Linked DNA regions of Macaca fascicularis. The protein of the gene in region 5 interacts with the protein of the main gene of each other region in a biochemical or structural test. Links are inferred from orthologs where the notes say so. Each region holds a gene or a part of one and is shown on either strand. Other genes may lie near its edges.

Evidence for each region.
Region 1: of the proteins of RNF40 (region 5) and H2BC21, one has a biochemical effect on the other in vitro, tested with the Homo sapiens proteins (2 studies listed by BioGRID). The link is inferred for Macaca fascicularis from reciprocal best matches to the Homo sapiens genes RNF40 and H2BC21.
Region 2: the proteins of RNF40 (region 5) and WAC form a complex in vitro, tested with the Homo sapiens proteins (2 studies listed by BioGRID). The link is inferred for Macaca fascicularis from reciprocal best matches to the Homo sapiens genes RNF40 and WAC.
Region 3: the proteins of RNF40 (region 5) and UBE2A form a complex in vitro, tested with the Homo sapiens proteins (3 studies listed by BioGRID). The link is inferred for Macaca fascicularis from reciprocal best matches to the Homo sapiens genes RNF40 and UBE2A.
Region 4: the proteins of RNF40 (region 5) and UBE2B form a complex in vitro, tested with the Homo sapiens proteins (3 studies listed by BioGRID). The link is inferred for Macaca fascicularis from reciprocal best matches to the Homo sapiens genes RNF40 and UBE2B.

What each region holds. Positions count from the first base shown.
Region 1 is NC_088375.1:111,389,242-111,392,662, reverse strand, and holds H2BC21 (histone H2B type 2-E), read right to left. Parts: upstream 2,215-3,421; 5' UTR 2,173-2,214; coding exon 1,792-2,172; 3' UTR 512-1,791; downstream 1-511. Other genes in the region: H2AC20 (histone H2A type 2-C), read left to right, coding at 2,507-2,896; H2AC21 (histone H2A type 2-B), read right to left, coding at 3,057-3,421. UniProt on the Homo sapiens protein: Core component of nucleosome. Nucleosomes wrap and compact DNA into chromatin, limiting DNA accessibility to the cellular machineries which require DNA as a template.
Region 2 is NC_088383.1:29,309,950-29,313,487, reverse strand, and holds part of WAC (WW domain-containing adapter protein with coiled-coil), read right to left. Parts: exon of another isoform or gene 3,289-3,538; intron 3,132-3,288; coding exon 2,983-3,131; intron 580-2,982; coding exon 461-579; intron 1-460.
Region 3 is NC_088395.1:125,912,727-125,917,020, forward strand, and holds the start of UBE2A (ubiquitin-conjugating enzyme E2 A), read left to right. Parts: upstream 1-1,492; 5' UTR 1,493-1,641; coding exon 1,642-1,685; intron 1,686-1,830; coding exon 1,831-1,911; intron 1,912-2,304; coding exon 2,305-2,330; intron 2,331-4,294. UniProt on the Homo sapiens protein: E2 ubiquitin-conjugating enzyme that accepts ubiquitin from the ubiquitin-activating enzyme E1 and transfers it to a E3 ubiquitin-protein ligase. In vitro catalyzes 'Lys-11', as well as 'Lys-48'-linked polyubiquitination.
Region 4 is NC_088380.1:140,910,704-140,914,801, reverse strand, and holds the start of UBE2B (ubiquitin-conjugating enzyme E2 B), read right to left. Parts: upstream 2,806-4,098; 5' UTR 2,677-2,805; coding exon 2,633-2,676; intron 504-2,632; coding exon 423-503; intron 1-422. UniProt on the Homo sapiens protein: E2 ubiquitin-conjugating enzyme that accepts ubiquitin from the ubiquitin-activating enzyme E1 and transfers it to a E3 ubiquitin-protein ligase. In vitro catalyzes 'Lys-11'-, as well as 'Lys-48'- and 'Lys-63'-linked polyubiquitination.
Region 5 is NC_088394.1:28,931,109-28,935,348, forward strand, and holds the start of RNF40 (E3 ubiquitin-protein ligase BRE1B), read left to right. Parts: upstream 1-1,438; 5' UTR 1,439-1,525; intron 1,526-1,601; 5' UTR 1,602-1,672; coding exon 1,673-1,804; exon of another isoform or gene 1,805-2,114; intron 2,115-2,234; coding exon 2,235-2,402; intron 2,403-2,534; coding exon 2,535-2,676; intron 2,677-3,308; coding exon 3,309-3,515; intron 3,516-4,068; coding exon 4,069-4,190; intron 4,191-4,240. Other genes in the region: CFAP119 (cilia- and flagella-associated protein 119), read right to left, coding at 335-366, 684-887.

The DNA.
Region 1 (3,421 bases), on a different chromosome or scaffold from region 5:
CTTGGCCTCATTTGTAAAAAGGAGATTAACCCTGTAGTCCTGCCTATCTTGCATGGCCTCCTGGAAAGCAAATGAGGTGATGATGGCCGGGCGCGGTGGCTCAAGCCTGTAATCCCAGCACTTTGGGAGGCCGAGGCGGGCGGATCACAAGGTCAGGAGATCGAGACCACAGTGAAAAAAAACCCCGTCTCTACTAAAAATACAAAAAATTAGCCGGGCGCGGTGGCGGGCGCCTGTAGTCCCAGCTACTCAGGAGGCTGAGGCAGGAGAATGGCGGGAACCCGGGAGGCGGAGCTTGCAGTGAGCCGAGATCGCGCCACTGCACTCCAGCCTGGGCAACAGCGTGAGACTCCGTCTCAAAAAAAAAAAAAAAAAAAAAAAAAAAAAAAAAAAAAAAAAAAAATGAGGTGATGACTGTCAATTAAAAGCTCCTCTCCTTTAAGAGGGGAACACCAAGAGGGGAGAGTAAGAAAAGAAGGAAAAGGCTCTTTCCAGTGACCAATACGCTGAATTTGATGAAAATCCAAAAGAGGTTATGCTAAACTGGGAAGCGTAAGGGTGGATCTACCATTGCCACCTCCTCTTTGATGCAAAAAAAATCTTAACACGGCCCCCTCCCAGCTGTTGCACTGAGGTGACTAAGGACACATTTGAGGAAGTAGCTCCAAAAACATTTCCATTTTCACCGTGCCTTCACATACATCTAACGGAAATGAACAGCACCCATCATCCATCCACGAAAGCGATTAAGAAAACGATGGGATGGAAAAACTAACCCAACAATATTACATCAATACGTAGTATTTAGGTAAGTGTCCATAATGTGCCAGGCTGAAGATGCACGGGAAAACCACACCAGCCGGTCAAGGGCTTGAGAATACCATAAACAAGAAAACAGACGAACCAATTTCAGACAGCTGCTAGAAGGAAGATAAAATGAGACAGGCAAGTATGAGCGGCGCGAATTCCTTAGTGGATGACGTAGATCTCTGACAGGTGACTTTTGAGCCCGTATCTACACGGTAAGTGCCTCGCAGTGACCTGGGGCCGCAGCCTTACCCTTTAAAGCAGAGACCATTAAATGCAAAAATTATCAACAAAACGAGAAATAGGAATTTCAAAGTCTCAAAGTGAACGACGGAAACTGAAATCTACAAATTAGAAAGAGGCGCAGAATTTTGAATATTCATGTCGCCCAATCAGGAAAAGGCTGGGACCCGGCTGCGCGGGCTTCGTCCAAAATACACAGAACGGCTGGTATCCACAGGAGACCCCATCGCACAGCAGAACTGGTGACCGGACACAAAAGGTGCTGCCAAGCGTCAGTCATACACAGCTGTCACGCAGTGTTTGCGGAACCTGGGCTGAATCGTGCCCTGGAGTTCTCTTAAATAACAGCCGAACTCAGCCACTTCGTTTTAGAATGAAACAGACCCAAGAAGCCACCAGGGCGCCAGTGTGGGGCGGGAGTGGGGGCGGGTAAAGAGGCGGATTCCCAACATCCTAATTGAGAACCGACTCCTGGGAATGCTAAGCAGCACAATGAGTGAAGACACGCTCTAGATTCAAAAGCAAATCCAATCATGCACCGGGGACCTCAAGTTCCAAATGGTTAAAAACCTACGTGTGGCATTTCCCATGACCTTTACGCTAAAATTACTTTATGAGAAGAAACTAAGGGAGTAAGTGAACAAGCTCTTTTCTAGTGATTAGGTGGGTGGCTCTGAAAAGAGCCTTTGGAGTCAAGCAGCCGGCGACTCGAGCGAGCGAGCGCCAGGTCCCGGCAGGGACTCACTTGGAGCTGGTGTACTTGGTGACTGCCTTGGTGCCCTCGGACACGGCGTGCTTGGCCAGCTCGCCGGGCAGCAGCAGGCGCACGGCCGTCTGGATCTCGCGGGACGTGATGGTGGAGCGCTTGTTGTAGTGCGCCAGGCGGGACGCCTCTCCCGCGATGCGCTCGAAAATGTCGTTGACGAAGGAGTTCATGATGCCCATGGCCTTGGACGAGATGCCGGTGTCGGGGTGGACCTGCTTCAGCACCTTGTACACGTAGATGGAGTAGCTCTCCTTGCGGCTGCGCTTGCGCTTCTTGCCGTCTTTCTTCTGGGCTTTGGTGACGGCTTTCTTGGAGCCCTTTTTAGGAGCCGGAGCGGATTTTGCCGGTTCAGGCATGGTAAGACACAGTACAAACGCGGCTTAGCCAAGAAAAGAAGTAAGAGAATGGGCGGGCCTGATTCTTTTATAACCACCTTATGCAAATTAGGGCTCCGAAAGTCATTCATTTCCATTGGTCCGTGTGCGGACCTTGCGTTTTCAGCAATGCGTACGCAACAACACCGACTCTTGACTTGATTGGCCGGTTCTGAAGCCATATTAGGACCAATGAAAAACTCGTTCTAGACCCCACCCCTAGGAAAGCTTATAAAGGCTTTCCTCTTGGTTCTCTTTCAAGCTTATTTTGTAGCGAGGTTCTGAGCATTGTCTGTGTTTAACCTTGGTTTCAGTCATGTCTGGTCGTGGCAAACAAGGAGGCAAGGCTCGCGCCAAGGCCAAGTCGCGCTCGTCCCGCGCTGGCCTCCAGTTCCCGGTAGGGCGAGTGCACCGCTTGCTGCGCAAAGGCAACTACGCGGAGCGGGTGGGGGCTGGCGCGCCAGTCTACATGGCGGCGGTCCTCGAGTACCTGACCGCCGAGATCCTGGAGCTGGCGGGCAACGCGGCTCGGGACAACAAGAAGACGCGCATCATCCCTCGTCACCTCCAGCTGGCCATCCGCAACGACGAGGAACTGAACAAGCTGCTGGGCAAAGTCACCATCGCCCAGGGCGGCGTTTTGCCTAACATCCAGGCCGTTCTGTTACCAAAGAAAACTGAAAGCCACAAAGCCAAAAGCAAATAAATGCAGACAAACAAACCAAAGACCAAAGGCTCTTTTTAGAGCCACCCAAGTTTTCAAAAAAAGAGCTAATGCGCTATTTCGTGATCAGCCCTTCATTTGACACTTTGGTGGCTCTTAAAAGAGCCTTTGGGGTGAATGAGTATGGTGTCAAGCCTCTTAATTACTTGTTCTTGCCAGGCTTGTGACTCTCCGTTTTCTTGGGCAACAGGACAGCCTGGATATTGGGTAAGACGCCGCCCTGGGCAATGGTGACACCCCCGAGTAACTTGTTGAGCTCTTCGTCATTCCTCACGGCTAGTTGCAGATGGCGAGGGATGATGCGCGTCTTCTTGTTGTCCCGAGCCGCGTTGCCTGCTAGCTCCAGAATTTCCGCGGTCAGGTACTCGAGGACCGCCGCCAGGTACACCGGGGCGCCTGCCCCCACCCGTTCCGCGTAGTTGCCCTTGCGCAGCAAGCGGTGCACTCGCCCCACCGGGAACTGGAGGCCAGCGCGGGACGAGCGCGACTTGGCCTTAGCGCGGGCCT
Region 2 (3,538 bases), on a different chromosome or scaffold from region 5:
AAAGTCATCTGTATAGGGTCACAGTTAAGCTACTGGGAAAGCCTGACATACACGGGAAACATCGGCCCAAGTTTTAGATAGGAGACTTTGGCTTTCATCAATATACTCAAACCAAAACTGCTATGAGGAGGTTACAAAGCAATGTAATTCCAACAAATATTGTAAAATCATGTGCCTTTCTGGTACAAGTATCACAAATCTTTACCCCATCATATTCCACTGTGTAAAATTTTAAAGAGCCACTTTCTTCAAAATAACCCGGGCTTTACTACTAGAGACAATAACCTACCTCTTGTATACAGGTTTGTCTTTGTAAATTTTACAACATATAAGCCTACTTTAGAGTATTCATGGAGTTTAAAGTTGTTATATTTTACAGATACATCTTCAAACAATGCAATATACCAGTATACTATCATTAAACAAAACAATGTGGTCTCAATATACAATATCGACGTACCTTGAGCGCTGAAGACTTCGAGGAGAGACAGGTTCATGACCTTGCTGCTTGTCAGCAGTTACAGGCTGCTGTGTGGCTGACTGTGACACTGGTCCTTGCTTAACTACTGGAGTACTAACCTGAAATGTCAAAATCTGGTGAGATGGTCTCCAAATCTAATCCACATCTCTCCCCCCAAAATCTAGGTAATCGTCTTAGAACATGTAAAATATGGTGTTTTAAAGAAGACTGTCAAGTTCTAAAACTTCGGTATCTCATTTCTTTGTAAAAATGGCCCAAGGTCATAAAATTACTTCCCTATCAAACCAGTGTAAGAAACTAGCTCTCCTCCTTTACAACTCAGTTTTCTTTCCAATACATTATTATCTCTTCTGATTTGTTACTTTTATATCAATAAAAGTAAATATGTATGCTACCACATCATACACATATGGATGCTTAGATTTTAATGACATGGAGAAACAATGTGATTCGGCTATCAGAAAATGAGTTATGGCCCATATAAAGTTCATCATGAGTGTTTTTCAAAGAGATGTTACTCTACAGAGGTAGACTGAAGTCCATGATTGCCAATCAGGATACATATTATATTCAGAAGCCACAGAGAGAAAATAAGCAGTTTAAAATATAAGCTCTAAATTGAGGCACAAAGGCAGATGGAGTCCTTTGTGATAAGCCACACCTCACTGCTGTTTTTCTTTTGGTGGGGTGAGGGGATATGATTAATAATTCTCCCTAACAAATCTGGAACGTCCTGCTTAACTTCTGAATATTACCTATCAATTCTAGTCAAGTCTTATAAAGAACATTTTAGTAAGCACTAAAAGCTCAAATGTTCAATTATTTTAAAAACAACTTGAAGAAGTTTTCGGAACACAAAAAACTGATAGCTATCTGTTTAAAGGACTTTTTTTTTTTTTCTTCGAGACAGGGTCTTAGTCTGGTTGCCTAGTCTGGAGTGCAGAGTGACGTGATCTTGGCTCACTCCAACCTTGAATTCCCAGGCTCAGGTGATTCCCCCACCCCAGCCTCCTGAGTAGTACAAATTGCCATGCCCAAATAAGTTTTTTTTGTTGTTGTTTTTTAAAGACAGAGTTTTGCTCTCTCGCCCAGGCTGGAGTGCAGTGGCGTGATCTTGGCTCAACTGCACCTCCACTTTCCAGGTCAAGTGATTCTCATGCCTCAGCCTCCTGAGTAGCTGGGATTATAGGTCTGTGCCACTAATTTTGGTAATTTTAGTAGAGACTGGGTTTTGCCTGTTGGCCAGGCTTTTTTCAAACTCCTGGCCTCAAGTGATCTGCCTGCCTCGGCCTCCCCCAGTAAATTTTCAAATTATTTTTGTAGAGATGGGGTCTTGCTGTATTGCCCAGGGCCTAACTGAATCCTCCTGCCCTGGCCTCCTAAGTGCTGTAATTATGGGTGTGCGCCACTGCGCCCAGCCTGCTTAAAGGAGTTGAAATGCTCAGTTTACAAGTGACTATAAAACCAATACTGCCACTTATTTCACTTTTAACCACTATTTACTATACTCTTAAAATATCACCCTGAAGAAAAGTTCTAAGCTCCAAAAATAACCTATCTTTTGCTGAAACTCACATTTTAATTCTTTCCTCCTTAAAATACTGGTGAATGATAAGGAACTGCATGACAAACTAACAACTGTAACTTGGAATTTTAAAAATCAATCTAAATTGGCCCTAAAACATGCATTGATCAATGGCCAAGGTAGGGAAGGGATGAACAAACGGGAAGACTTAAAAGCTGACCAACCACCTCTTTCAAGTTGTATTTCAATGCATTTTTATTTTTGGGCTGCTGCTTAAGATCTTACAAATAATTGTTTGGCATTAAAAAGTTTGAAACAGCCCACTGTTTCAAAACTACTCAAAAGAAATTCCCCCTATATTTACCATTTAGCCCAGAAATTTTCTAACTGCACCTATGGAGCCAACCATGTGAGATTCTGCTGGGACAAATACAGGCAATATAAGCTTAGTAAAATGGGTCCCTGTATTCACAAACACCTAGGTTTCAAATTCTGACTCTACCACAAAAACTAGACTTAACTGAGAGTCTGATTTTCTTATCTATTAAATGAAGCAAGTGATGCTCATGATGTGAAAGTTGAACATACATTAAGTTCTTAGCACAAAAACTGCCTCATTTTTGAAATACAAATATGGCAAAGTTGCTGGAAAACATGTTCACTCATGTCTTTTGGAGTCTGAAAATTCTACAAATATTAAGACTCACAGTATACCCTCTTTATCTCACTCTCCATGTGACAAATCCCAAAACCATTAGGGAACAGACTCAGAAGGTGTATTAAAGCAGCACAGATTCAAAGCCCCCCTCTATCCCTCAGTGAACTGAGAAATTCTAGGCTGCATCTACTATCATACCTGTCATCCATTCCACCACTACACCTCATTCTCATAGAGCTTTTTCTGTAACAGATTCTAAAATGTTATTGATTTTCCAAAAGTAGTTTCTTTCCCAAATATCCCTCAAAGGTGACATACCTTTGGCTGTGATGAAACAGGAGGAGTACTGATCAAGGGTTTGATAGGGACTGTGTTAGTTTGAGGTGTGCTTATTCTTGGAGAAACATATGATCTTGGGGATGACGCATCAGACGTTAAAGACATTGGAGACTGATTAGATGGCTGGGCTGTAAAAGAGGGAAGCAATTAATTTTAAAGAAAAACAAAACAAAACAAAAAAACTAAGTCCTTTGTAATATATGTGGTAACAATCTTTGTATCACTCTAAACCCCCCACCCCCATATTACCCAGAGAACACTTATCGGAATAAATCAGAATCTGACCTTCTCACTGGGCCACACTGACTAAGTGAGCTGTGTGTTCAGAGGTAAGCACACCCAGTGTGGCCCACTCTCCTTTATGTGGCTGGAACAGGAAGCTAGGCCTGAACCTATTCTCACATGGAAGGCCTCCTCACCATCCTTATTTCTTCTTTCTTATTCTACATTTAGGCCCAGGTATCCCACGCAGTCTCCTGCTCATGAGGCTAGCCAGAGGGTTGCAAGAGTCTTTGCACCATTATACTTCCATTCC
Region 3 (4,294 bases), on a different chromosome or scaffold from region 5:
TTCTCATGTTAGAAACAAATTCCTGCACATCTGATATCTTCTGGACATCTTCACGGGGATGTCTCACCAGTCCCATGAACTCAGTAAGTCCCACCCAAAATTTCCTCTCCCAAACTTGTCCCTCTCTCTCTATTCTGTAATTCTGTTAATGGCACCTTCAAATCCCCAGTTATCTTGGGGCTTAGAGTTTCAGCCTCTGTTGACTCCTTCCTCTCTCTTGCCTCCATATTCAACCTGTTGCCAAGTCCTCCCCATTCATTCATATCCTACTTGCCTTTACTGTCACTGCCTGGTTCAGTATCTCACACCTAGATACTGCAAGAGTCTCCTGCCTGCTCTCTTGAGACCAATCTCTGATAAGCACAGCTCTAATGATGTCACTTCCCTGCTTAATGGACTTCCAAGGAATCCATTAGCTTGGCATTCAAAACTCTTGATGACTTAACCCAAACCTACCTTTCTCCTATTTTCAATAATTTTTAAATGTGTATTATGCCTATCTTCTAAGTTATTTTGGGTTGACCTTTAAAAATTATCCTTTAAAACTGTTACTGCTTTTGCAGGTCCACGGACTGTGACTCTTCCCGCAACCTGCAGCTTTTCCACGTTCCTTTTACTTCAGACCCACTGTCCTTGCAACTCCCTGCAGTCGGATAGTCTCATACTGTGGACTCTTCTGAACATATAATAGCCGCTCGGCTTGTTGAACTACCAAGGGAAAATGTGGTTCCAGAGCCAAATTGTGAGTGCCCAAAGCAAAACAAAACAAAACAAAACCCTACTCTGCCTGCCTTAAGCTCCCATTCCCTCCCACAGGACATACAACACCATTTCATTCTGCCCAGGGGTGATCATTGGCCTAAACGTTGAGCGCCCAATCCTGCATTCAATCCCACAGCCCCGCCCCGCCCGCCGGTCATAGTCAAGGCCAATTTATTCTTTTGATTTTTCGTGATTTTAACCAATCACTCTGCTCCGCACCCCTCCGACCCCAATCTCCGGTGTCCGCAGGGATTGGGCACCCTAGAGTTGCCGCTTTTTGAGAACCGGTTTTACCTCCGCCCACTCCTTCGTCCTCTAGTTTGGGACTTCCAAACTTCTCCCCCCTCCTCCCCGGGCATAGTGCGCGCTCTCATGAATGATCTGGTCACAAAACAAAAAAGAAGAGAAAAAGAAAAAAAGGAAGAAAAAAAGAGAAAAAGAAAAAAAGCCGAAAACTTCCCAGGGTTTGCCTTAGAATTAGCAGGTGGGGATGGACCCCGTTCCACCACGAGGTCCTCCAGCGCCCCGGGCTCCAGCGTACCCCACGCCTCTGAGCTCGCGGCCCCGCCCCCGGCCTCCTGCGGGGCTTTAATGACATAAGCAACTTTCCTCGCGCACCCCCCGCCCCGTCTTGGTACGGCCTGTCCGGCGCTCGACGTTCCACCCCCCTCTCTCTGCTCTCAGGTTGGTTCAGCCCCCGTCTACACTGGGGTGGTGCTTAGCCGGCGCCAGACCGACCCTCGACTTCGGAGAGGCAGCGCGGTGCCTCTGGGTGCTTCCGCCTCCCCTTCTCCGGCTTCTCCAGCGTCCTCGGCCTCGTCGCCCGCCGCGGGAACCCGAGACCCCAGTGTATGCCCCACCCCTGACCCCGCTCGCGACATGTCCACTCCGGCTCGGCGGCGCCTCATGCGGGACTTCAAGAGGTAAACCGAGGGGACGGCCGAGGCCGGGGGTTGCGAGCCGGGGCACAGGGCGGGTCCCGAGGCGCGCCGGGCGGGGAGGGCTGGGGAGCGGCCGGGAGCGGGCGCCAGTGCCGGCCTAGGGGGACCCCTGTCTGTCTTCCCGAAGGTTGCAGGAGGATCCTCCAGCCGGAGTCAGCGGGGCTCCGTCCGAGAACAACATAATGGTGTGGAACGCGGTCATTTTCGGGTGAGTCTGCGTTCGTGGCGGTGGCGAGAGAACCGGGTACGCGAGCCCTCTCGGTCTGCGCTCCAAGGCGGGCCCCCCGTGGAGGCCGAGGGGGTAGGGGAAAATGTTTGGGTCTGGCTGGGCCTAGGCGCCTCCCCGGAGCCTGTGCCTCGATTAGCTCAGTTCCCGCTGCCAGGGGGAACCGCTTGGGGTTCTAGGGGGGCGGGGCGGGGAGTGGTGGCGGTTAGGCGCGGCGGCCTGCCCTGTGTCTCTGAGCCCGGGACATCTATTTGTAGTGGCTTTCGACTCCGGCAGCGGTGCGGGAGGTGGCAGAGCTCGGGATAGCCATCTCAGATGAAGCAGGGAGAAGGGGGCCCCTTAAGTGGGAACTGACCATTTTTCTCTGTGTTGCAGGCCTGAAGGGACCCCGTTTGAGGATGGTAAGAGAGAGTTTCTTTACCCACTTTTCAGGAGCCTGATCATCTGGGGAATGGGTTCCCACTCATCCTGGAAGTGTCTCCTGCTTAGGAACCTGGCTGTGCCTAGTCTCTGTCTGCTAAAGGCTTGAGTGGAATGCAGTGTGTAGCTGGTCGTTCTGGATATTGTATGCTTGACTAGAACTGCACCTTTCTTCTTGTTTTCTTAAAAAAAAATCTGGGGAAGGCAGTCACTTTTTAAAAGGAGCAATCATAGCACTGATATTAAGGATTTTTGAGGCTTGGGCTGTGATTCTGCTAAATTCAGCCCTCCATCACTGAATTAGTATAAACCCAACCAGTTGCTGATAGTCAGCAGAAACACCAGAGACCATCTGGTTCAGAATTCTACCCCAAGGGCAGGAATTGTGGTCAGCAGGTGCTTGGTAGATGTGTGTTGGATGTTGAGTGGATGCAAGCGTCCCTTCCATTCAACTGTCTGGTTTCTACAATCTGACATTGAATGCCTGTCAGCCTCACTTCTCTAAGATGGTCTTAAATGCCTCATTTGAGTACAGTATTGTTTCTTATTTTTAAGTGAATTTACAGTGTGTGCTTTCATCAAGACGTTATGATCAGTAATTTCAAAGCAGCTTCACAATTGAAGTTAGCCTCACTGTACCCTTTTGATCAGTGTCCCGCCTACTTGAAAGTACTACATGTACCAGTAGGTACATAATTTTTAAGTGATTTAGGTTTAACTTTTAAAAACACATGTGTAAATTGCTTTTTTAAAACTTTATGATTTTAGATAATTATAGATTCATATGCAGTTGCAAGAAATTAAGAGAGACACCCTTTATACCCTTAACCCAGTCCTCTCCCCAAACCCTCCCGTTTGGTAACATCTTGAATGACTAGACCCTATCACAACCAGAAAAATGACATTGATAGTTCTGCACTCAGTTGTGTGTGTGGTGTGTGTGTGTTGTTGTTTTTTGAAAGTTTAATACATTTAAAGGATGATTAAAGTATTTGAACTTATGAAATTCTTTAATATTTGAGGTTTTTAAAAAAAGGAAAAGGATGTTTCTGTTATTTTTTTTCCTCAATGATTTATCTTCATTCGGTCACATAGCATTTATACACACACACACACTTCAGTTTGAAGGTGGGAACAAAAACATTTCTGCAAACTACTTAATACATACTTATGTTGCTGAGCCGGATTGCTTTTTGATGCTACCAGTCCGCAAAATGTTGTGAGGTAAGTCAATATCAACTAAGTCTATAATTCATCTCAAGTAGTTAGATTTCTCCAGGAAACTGTGGACAGTCACCTGAATATTTTTAGCTTCCTCTCTACCTTTACCCCCTGGGTAAATATCATTGTTCTTCAGGGCTGCAATGAAAAGAAATGACAGCAGGAGACAGTGATTGTAAGGGCATACTACTTTGGTGCAGTTAATCATTTGAGCTGATTTGTAGCAAGAAACTATAGCTAGACTTAAATTTTCCTCTACCAGATTGGCACTAGTTATTTATTTATTTATTTATTTATTTATTTATTTTTGAGACGGAGTCGTGCCCTGTCACCCAGGCTGGAGTGCGATGGCGCGATCTCAGCTCACTGCAACCTCCACCTCCTGGGTTCAAGTGATTCTCCTGCCTCAGCCTCCTGAGTAGCTGGGATTACAGGTGCACGACACCACGCCCGGCTAATTTTTTGTATCTTTAGTAGAGATGGGGTTTCACCATGTTGGCCAGGCTGGTCTCAAACTCCTGACCTTAGGATCCACCCGCCTTGGCCTCCCAAAGTGCTGGGACTACAGGCTTGAGCCACCGTACTCAGCCAGCACTAGTTCTTTATACCTGAGATTTAAATGTACAGATTAACTGTGTATTTGCTTTAGCTCTAGTAGGCTTTGTTTTCATTGGCTTCTTTTTTCCTCGTTTTACTCTGTTTTATGCTGGGCACAGCTTTATTA
Region 4 (4,098 bases), on a different chromosome or scaffold from region 5:
GGATAGCTGGCTGCAGCCTCAAACTTCTGGGCTCAAGTGATCCTCCTGCCTCGGCCTTCCAAGTAGCTGGGCACCACCATGCCCAGTTAGTTTTATACTTTTTGTAGAGACAAGGTCTCTCACTATGTTGCCCAGACTGGGCCAAAACTCTTTTTTTGGTGGAGAGGGGACAGAGTCTCACTGTCTCACTATATCGCCCAGGCTGGTGATGAACTCCTGGGCTCCAGCGATCCTCCCAGGCGTTGAGCTACTGTGCTGGGCCAAAACTCTAATTGAAAAAAATTTTTTTCTAATTTATCTTGCAGTTTTAGTCCTTAAGATCTCTCATTCTACCTCAGTTTCTTTTCCTAGACAGTTGTTATATGTTCACTTTTCTTAAAGATTCAGCACACACCTATTATTTGTTAAACCTTTCAACTCACCCAAATATAACTGCATTCCACTGCATGATGTTGTTTTCAGATGGTGCACCACTGACACCCACAGGTGGGTCCTCTTGTAACCTAGAAATCCAGCGTTGTAATTTAAAAAGTTGAACATTAAGGCCACTAAGGAGGCCACATAAACACCTACAGACACTACACCATCTATTTTGAGACACAGACTAACTCCATTTCCTTGTTATTGTGAACTAAAATGAACCATATGACTTAGATATATTAACCAGGTATATATACTTATTAAATACCTCTCCAAATTACCTAAAAATCCGAAGGGCTTGAGAATCATCCCTCTTTCAATATTATCAAGAGTATCTCTTCAAGAATTGATGTATATAGACTGTCCTCTTATACCAAAAAAAGTTTAAAACCTCAAAAGCAAGTAATATTTTTACAGAACCATTGATTTTGCTGCTCTAAACATGCAAAGACTGTGTATCCTAACCACGGCTACTTCTGCAAAATGGCTACAAGAAAAAAAAAAAAAGCAAACCTCAGTGTAAACACGAAATGACTGAAAACACATTAAATTTAACTAGGAAACTAGTATTAGGCAGCAGATTTACTCTATCCCTTTTGCTTCAAACAGCAATGGCTTTAAAAAGTAATCAGTAGGTTTTCCGCCAGTCCCTATTTTAAAGGCTCTGCACTAACATCAAATCTACCTCTCAAATCAGGAGACTCAATACAAGGCTTTCCCACATTCGTCATAGTCAAATTCTTGTAACCTATAGATCTCTGGAAAACTACAAAAGGTGCCATGTATTCAACTCAGAATTAAGCAGAGCATTACAGTAAGGAGCCAGGGCGACAATGACATGAACTAGTTTACTATCTGAATTTTAGTCATGAGTGCTAATCAGATACACTGATTTCAAGCTTTAGAAAAATGACTTTTGCACCAAAAAGGGCATCTCCTTTCAGAGACTGTAACCTCAATTAAAAATGCTACATTATACACACTCACAAATACATATGGAGTTGTTTTCATGGGGCATCATAATTTGCAACTAGTCCACATAAAAAAAAAGGTTTTTAGTCAATCTCAAGCAAATTAGGCCACCACAAACAGAAGCCTTAGAGGAACTGCACTGCTTGACGCCTACCTTTAAATGGCTAAGAGAAGCTACGAATGAATTAAATAAGTTGGCCAAATCCAAATGCCTCACATAGGCTTTATAATAGCTGAGAGGTGACTTCCTGAGCGACAAATCTATGTTTTTATGCTATTTTGTTCAATTAGGGTAGGTGTCCCCAGAAAAAATTTTAAGAAAAATGTGCAGAATATCAAAATGTTTTCTCACTTATTTTGTTTTTTCTACGTTATTTTGTTTTTTCTACGTCTCTAAGTATCCAATAAAAGGTAAACTAACGGAATAATCATTTTCTTCCTCACAACCCCAATACCTCCTAACAAAACCCTATTTTATTTACCAAAGAAGGCCCAGGGAGTATCAAATTAGCGCCAGTCTAAGGGAAGGCATTTTTCCAGACTCGGGAGGCTATAGATAGGGCTTTCTTCACCAGCCAGATCTGAGTTCCAGAAGGCACTGGCAGCCGGGGTGGCCAGCTCTAAGGTCCCAGATCTCTAAGTCAGTTCCCAAGGTCTTTTCAGGCGGGCGGGGACAGAGTCGGGTTTCGGGGGATGGGTTAACCTCCGAGCCTCACGCACTGGACCCCACCCTCACGGCAGAAATGGAAAGGACTGGCGAGGGTGGGGGGCTGGGGAGGTTCACCCCAACCCGGCTCCTCGGAGAAGACTGAGGGGCCGTGAAACAAAGCTGACTGGTGCTGCCGGAGAAGAACAAGCTCCCGCGGGAGCTCACTTTGAGGGGACAAGAAAGGGTCTCCGCAGGGTGCAGGGGCGGGAGGATGATGTCTGATCCCCGTCTGATCCCCTGGACGAGACCCCGGGCAGCTGGCCGAAATGGGCAGCGGGGAACCCTAGACCAGTCGATCGACATCGTTTTACTTTTTGGGGGGAGGGGAAGCAGTATCGAAATTTCTTCGGGCGCCAGAGCGAGCGGCAAGGATAAGGAGAGTAGGGGCCGAGGTAGGACCCGGCTTCCGCCAGTCCCCCTGGGCCCACAGCCGGCCCTCTGAGGGTCACAAGGGGAAGGTGTCCGGGATCCACGCCCTGCAGCCCCGCAGCTTTGAGAGGCCGTCATCTATGCGAAGCTGAAGGCCCTTACCGCTTGAAATCCCGCATAAGCCTCCTTCGGGCCGGGGTCGACATGCTCCGCAGCTGCCCCGCGGTCAGTCTGAAAGAAAAGAGTCCCGCGCAGCCCCCCCACCCCCCGGCGCGGCGGCCGAATCACTGTGGATCGCCGCTGCCGCCGCCGCCGCCGCCGCCGCCGCCAAGACTGACAAACAACCCTGCAATGACGTCTCCCTCCGCCGCCTCCGGATCCCTCCGCCCTCCGCCGCTACCACAGAGTGAGTGCTGGGGGAGGAGGGGGCGGGACGGGGGAGCGCGCGTTCCCTGAGCCCTTCAGCGGGGCGTGGTTCTTCCTGGGCTTCCTGAAGTGATCGACAAATTTGTGTTCTCTGTGTTCAGACTAGAGGTTGTGGATTCAGAGACCACGAAACCGACACACTATCCTGTCTGCCTCCCCGTCTCTAGTTTAGGCTCGGCGGGGTGGAGAAAGAAGGACGTATCCGGGCCAGGGATTTCAGGGAAAGGAGGTGGGATGATGTAAGATCACGTGACTGCCCGCGGCCTTGTCAACAATCCACCCCTGAGGGGGAGGGGGAGAAGTATCTAGAACCACGTGTCCCTGTGACGCGTTTAGAACGGGTCACGTGAGAGCCTCGCCTGGATGTGAGTTTCGGCCAGGTCTGTGAAGCGGGTCTAAGAGGGTGAGGGCTGGATACACCTTTATTAGTTGTTTTCGGTTTATCACAGGTATAGAGACATTACCCAAGAGGTCGTGGGAGGATCAACAGCTTGTTTTGTTTTCTTTAAACCGGGACCAAAAATAACTCCCCTCTGGTTGGTTCAGTGGCTTATGAACTCTGGTACTTGGGGCAAGAAGAGAGAGGATCGCAAGATCTTCTAAGGCAGCATTGAATACTGAGGGCCACACAACAATCTCCTGAAATGGTTCCTTGAAGCTACCAAATAGTCTTTCTGCTTTGCAGTGGGGTTTCTAGTATTGGAAATTCTGGGCAAACATTAAAGGATGGTGTATTATGCAGTTTTTCCTTTCTGGGTCTGCTTTCAATTGAAGATATGTGTCAGAGTCCGGGGACTTGCCTATGGGGGGGAGTACCATTGTATTTTTAAGAATGTGGGGGTGCAGTCTTCCAAGCATATCAATGAGTGGTTGGTTGTCAAAGAAACCTACAAATATGATTCATATGTGGGGGAGAGCTCCAGCAGACCTGAGTGAGGGTTATCTATCCAGCCTGAGACAACTTCAGGTTTTTTACACTAGCAAGAAAGGTGCAAATGGGCGAGAAGTGCCCCCCCACCACCAGGGGGTTCAGAGGTGTTGACCTCCCACAGACCTTGAATATTTTTTGTAGTTACTGTCTTTCCCTGTATTGCTGCTAATTCCTACTTTCAGGACTTTGTTATACTAAGGACTCTGAGTACTTTTGTATCCATTTGGGGAATTGTTCGGTTCAACAGGTAAAGGGAGGGTGGAATGAGGAC
Region 5 (4,240 bases):
AATTCTTTTTTTCTGCTCTGCCACTACCTTGTATGACCTTGGTCAAATCCCCCCTGTGGCCCTCAGTGTCCCCCTCTGTACAATACTCCATAGCAGTCATGAGACTCCCTTTACATCCTGTCTTTGGCTCTTTTTTTCTCACACTGTCTCCTCTTTGGATTGGGGATGCTGGAAAGCTGGCTTCCAGTCACCTGGAGTAATTGCATCTCTGGGCCTCAGTCTCCTCATCTGTAAAAATGGGGATGCCCTGGCCACAGACAGGACTGTTGGGGAGGCAATAAAGGAAGAACGCAAATATTCAGTGTAACTCTTCCCCAAGTCTCTTCACACTCACCACATGCAGATCCGGGGTCGGGGCAGCGGCGGCTGCGGAAAGAAAGCGAATTGGGGAAGGCAGCTGTGGTGTCCTGGCCGTCGCGAATCTGCAGCGGGCCCCAGAACTCGCTGTAACTTGCCATCTCATCTCAACGACTAAGAAGGAGAGGCGCGGGCGAGGGCGGGCTTCAGGAGGCCCTAGGTGCTCTATGCGAGCACAATAACCACCAGGGTCACACACCCCTGCCTCTCCTTGCCCAGGCAGCGCGGGAGACGTCCCGAACGTTAGTAAGCATAATGACGATTGGTGCCTGCGGGGGAGCCCGTTTATAAATATTCACGAGCGGACCAGACTGTCCCGCCCTCACCGGGAACAAGTTGGCTCCGGGGTCTTCATCCGCTTTCGCCGCCGCCGCCGCCGTCGACTGGGTCCGCACACTCGCTCGCGTCCGCGCGGCCGACCCACGCGCTGAGATGCGATCCTTCCCCGCTTCCCGCCGCAGCTCGGAGAGATGTTCAAGTTCCGACTGCACCCTCATTCCCAAAAAGTGGCTGGTCTTGCGGTTGAGCATCTCGCCGCTCTTCCGTGCCGCGGCGCGCCCCGGGCTCCCGCCGCCTCGGTTCCAGGACAGCCAGCGCTCGGTCTGAGGCTACCAAGGCCGGGCCCGCTAGCCTTGCTCCGGCCAATCTGCGCGCCGAGAGGCGCGGCGGAGCGAATCCGTGGGGGCGTCTCCCTCCGTCTCAACGGCGACGGTTGCCAAGGGGGCTTGTGAAGGAATGAAGGCGGGAAACGCAAGCTCACGCCAGTGGGTGCGAAGAGAACGCGCAGATACGTAAGAAGTTGCGAGTGCCCACCTGAGCACCCTCTCTTCCAAGTTGTTAATACGAGGGCCGGCGCTGTCCTCAAGGCCGGGAAGTGGGAGCTTGGTGTCAGTTACTATGGGAACTGCCTCTTGGCCAATCACCGAGAGAAAGAGAAGGTGTTTGGGAAGAAGCCAGAGGACCCGAGAGGCGGGACCAAGCGTAACCAATAGAAGCAGAAGATAATGAAGTTTCCTCACATCCGGGGCTGCCTCCGGCGCCTGCGCCCTGCGCACCGTTGGGGGGGCCAGCAACGTCCAGTGACGTCCGGTGAAATCCAAGATGGCGGCGCTAGGCTGACCCTGTTGCTGGTGAGGGCTCTGGCGCCGGCGGGGACGGGATCCAGCAGGTGTGTGCGGGGTGGAGGGTGTTTGGGGCTGTGGAACACCAGCCGTTCCCACATCTCTGCTCTCTGTCTTCTGCAGGTGACGGAAGTACCGCCTCCTCCCGTCTGACGCCCCTCAGGGGACCCTGCGCCGCTCCAGCCGCCGCGGCCATGTCTGGGCTAGGCAACAAACGCGCCGCCGGCGACGGGGGCTCAGGGCCCCCGGAGAAGAAGCTGAGTCGTGAGGAGAAGACCACCACCACTCTTATCGAGCCCATTCGTCTTGGAGGCATCTCTTCCACGGTTCTTGGGCTCTTGCCTTAACCCTCAGAATTTCCCAGAGCCCTCCCTCTGTTCCCTGGCCAAATTGTCCAGAATCTTACACCCACTTCCCCAAGTTTAGCAAGGTCCGCGTTACAGGATACTCTGTTGAAAGAAGCCGAGAACACGACGCCTGTCTTCCCTTTACAGATAGGAAAACAGGTTCCCAGGGGGCGTGTGACTTGTCAAAGACTAAGGAGTTAGAAGGGGACAGGCAGAAACAACGTGAGCCTCCTCACAACCAAGACACTTTCGCTGTGGGTTGTGTGAGCCTCCTTAGATTCTGTTAGCGGTTAGTGTGGGAATACCCCCATCTCCCATGCATTCCAGATGCTCTGCTCCTCTCTTTCTGTGTGATTGGTTTCTGGGCTCTGCTTGATATTCTCGTCGGCCCCTTTGTTTCCTTTGGTAGGAGGAGATGGACCTGAAGGTACTACAGTTCAAGAACAAAAAACTGGCAGAGCGGCTGGAACAACGGCAGGCTTGTGAAGATGAACTCCGAGAACGAATTGAGAAGTTGGAGAAGCGGCAGGCCACAGATGATGCCACACTCCTCATCGTCAATCGCTACTGGGCCCAGGTGGATGCCTTCTGCTTTCCAAGACCAGGCCTTGATTCAGCTGCCAATCCCCAGATTCCCCTGCTGGAAAAGGGGTATAATGTTGGAAAGCATTAAGGGATTCATAACATTTTTGATGCTTTCTCCTTCCAGCTGGATGAAACTGTGGAAGCCCTTCTCCGATGCCATGAGGGCCAGGGGGAGCTGTCTTCAGCGCCTGAAGCACCTGGGACCCAGGAGGGGCCCACATGTGATGGGACTCCTCTCCCAGAGCCGGGGACATCAGAGCTGAGGGGTGAGACCAGAGTTCTGGGATCTAGGGAGCTTCAGTTCTGGGAAAAGTCCTGGGGAGGAGGGGACTTTGGTGTTGGGCCTCTGAATTGCCTGCCTTACTACTCCCCACGAAATGGATTTCATGTTTGGGTGGTAAAGTGCAGTGCACAAAAATACAGGCTTTGGACTCTGACTAACTTGGTTTATAGAGCAATTCATGTTTTGACACCCATTTGTTTGGAAACAGTATTACGGTTGAGTGTTAACTATGTATTTGACGCTTTCTAGAAATGGGTACTTGCTCATTGCATTTGCTATGAGGGAGGAAATTACAAACATAGTAAGCAGAAAGTACTGGGGCTCTTGAAAGGGAATAATTGTGTGTGCACATGTGTGTGTGTGTGAGATTCTAATTTTTATTGGGAAAGTACAGGAGGCATCTCTGAGGATGTGATACGCAACTCTGTAGCTTTGAGGAAATTACTTTACCTCCCTGAACCTCATTTGTCTCACTTTCAGGATGGAGATAATAGTGCACTATAGGTTGTGTTGATTAAGTGAGCCATGAATATTGAAGGGCTCAGTCTGGAACTTAGTACAGAGTGGTGGTAACTGCTGCTATTATCCTCATGAGGGTCTGTCCATTCCTTCCAGAGCCCTTGCCATTGCAGCTGCGGCCCCCTCTCAGTGAGCCGGCCTTGGCTTTTGTGGTGGCACTGGGTGCCAGCAGCAGTGAGGAGGTGGAGCTGGAGCTGCAAGGCCGAATGGAGTTCTCTAAGGCAGCTGTGTCTCATGTGGTAGAGGCCTCAGACCGCCTACAGCGCCGGGTGGAGGAACTCTGTCAGCGAGTGTATAGCCGAGGTGGGTTCTTTGTGCCCATACCCAAGAGGTGTCCATCCCTACCTGCATCTTGATGGCACCCCTTTCCAATTCCCCTAATGCCCAAGTCCAAGGGTGGCCAGAATTCCCCAAGGAATATATCAGCCACGTTCTTGGGAGGGGTAGGTTAGGCTGTAGATGGGGGTTCCAACTTTGATTCCTGGACTGAATGCTAGAGAGATGGGTTGGAGGAGCTGTTGATGCTAGTAGAGCCTCCTGTCCAGAGGCCCCTCTGGAGCACTTTGTGTGGGTTGCAGATCCACAAGGCATAGCTTCAAGGGCTCAGGCCTTGTAGGTTGACAGGCTTCTCCCACTTCAGTTCTGCCACCCTCACCTGGACGTGCTGGGAAAGTGGCTCCCCTCTCTGAGCTGGTTTCCTCCTCTGTGCAGTGGAGATAAAGACTCCTAGCTTTGTCATGAGAAATTGGCAAGACAGCCGGGGGATCACACTGGGCACATAGCAGACTCCAGAATGAGTTAGTTCTTTGCCCCATTGCCCTGAGCTGGACTCTTAACCTGGGCCCTGCTTTCCCAGGGGACAGTGAGCCCCTCAGTGAGGTGGCTCGGGCACGCACCCGAGAGCTGGGCCGTGAGAACCGGCGACTGCAGGACTTGGCCACCCAGCTGCAGGAGAAACACCACCGCATCTCATTGGAGGTGAGGAGCCAGGGGCTTTGGGAGTGGGATTAGAATCAGGCAGGATTTGG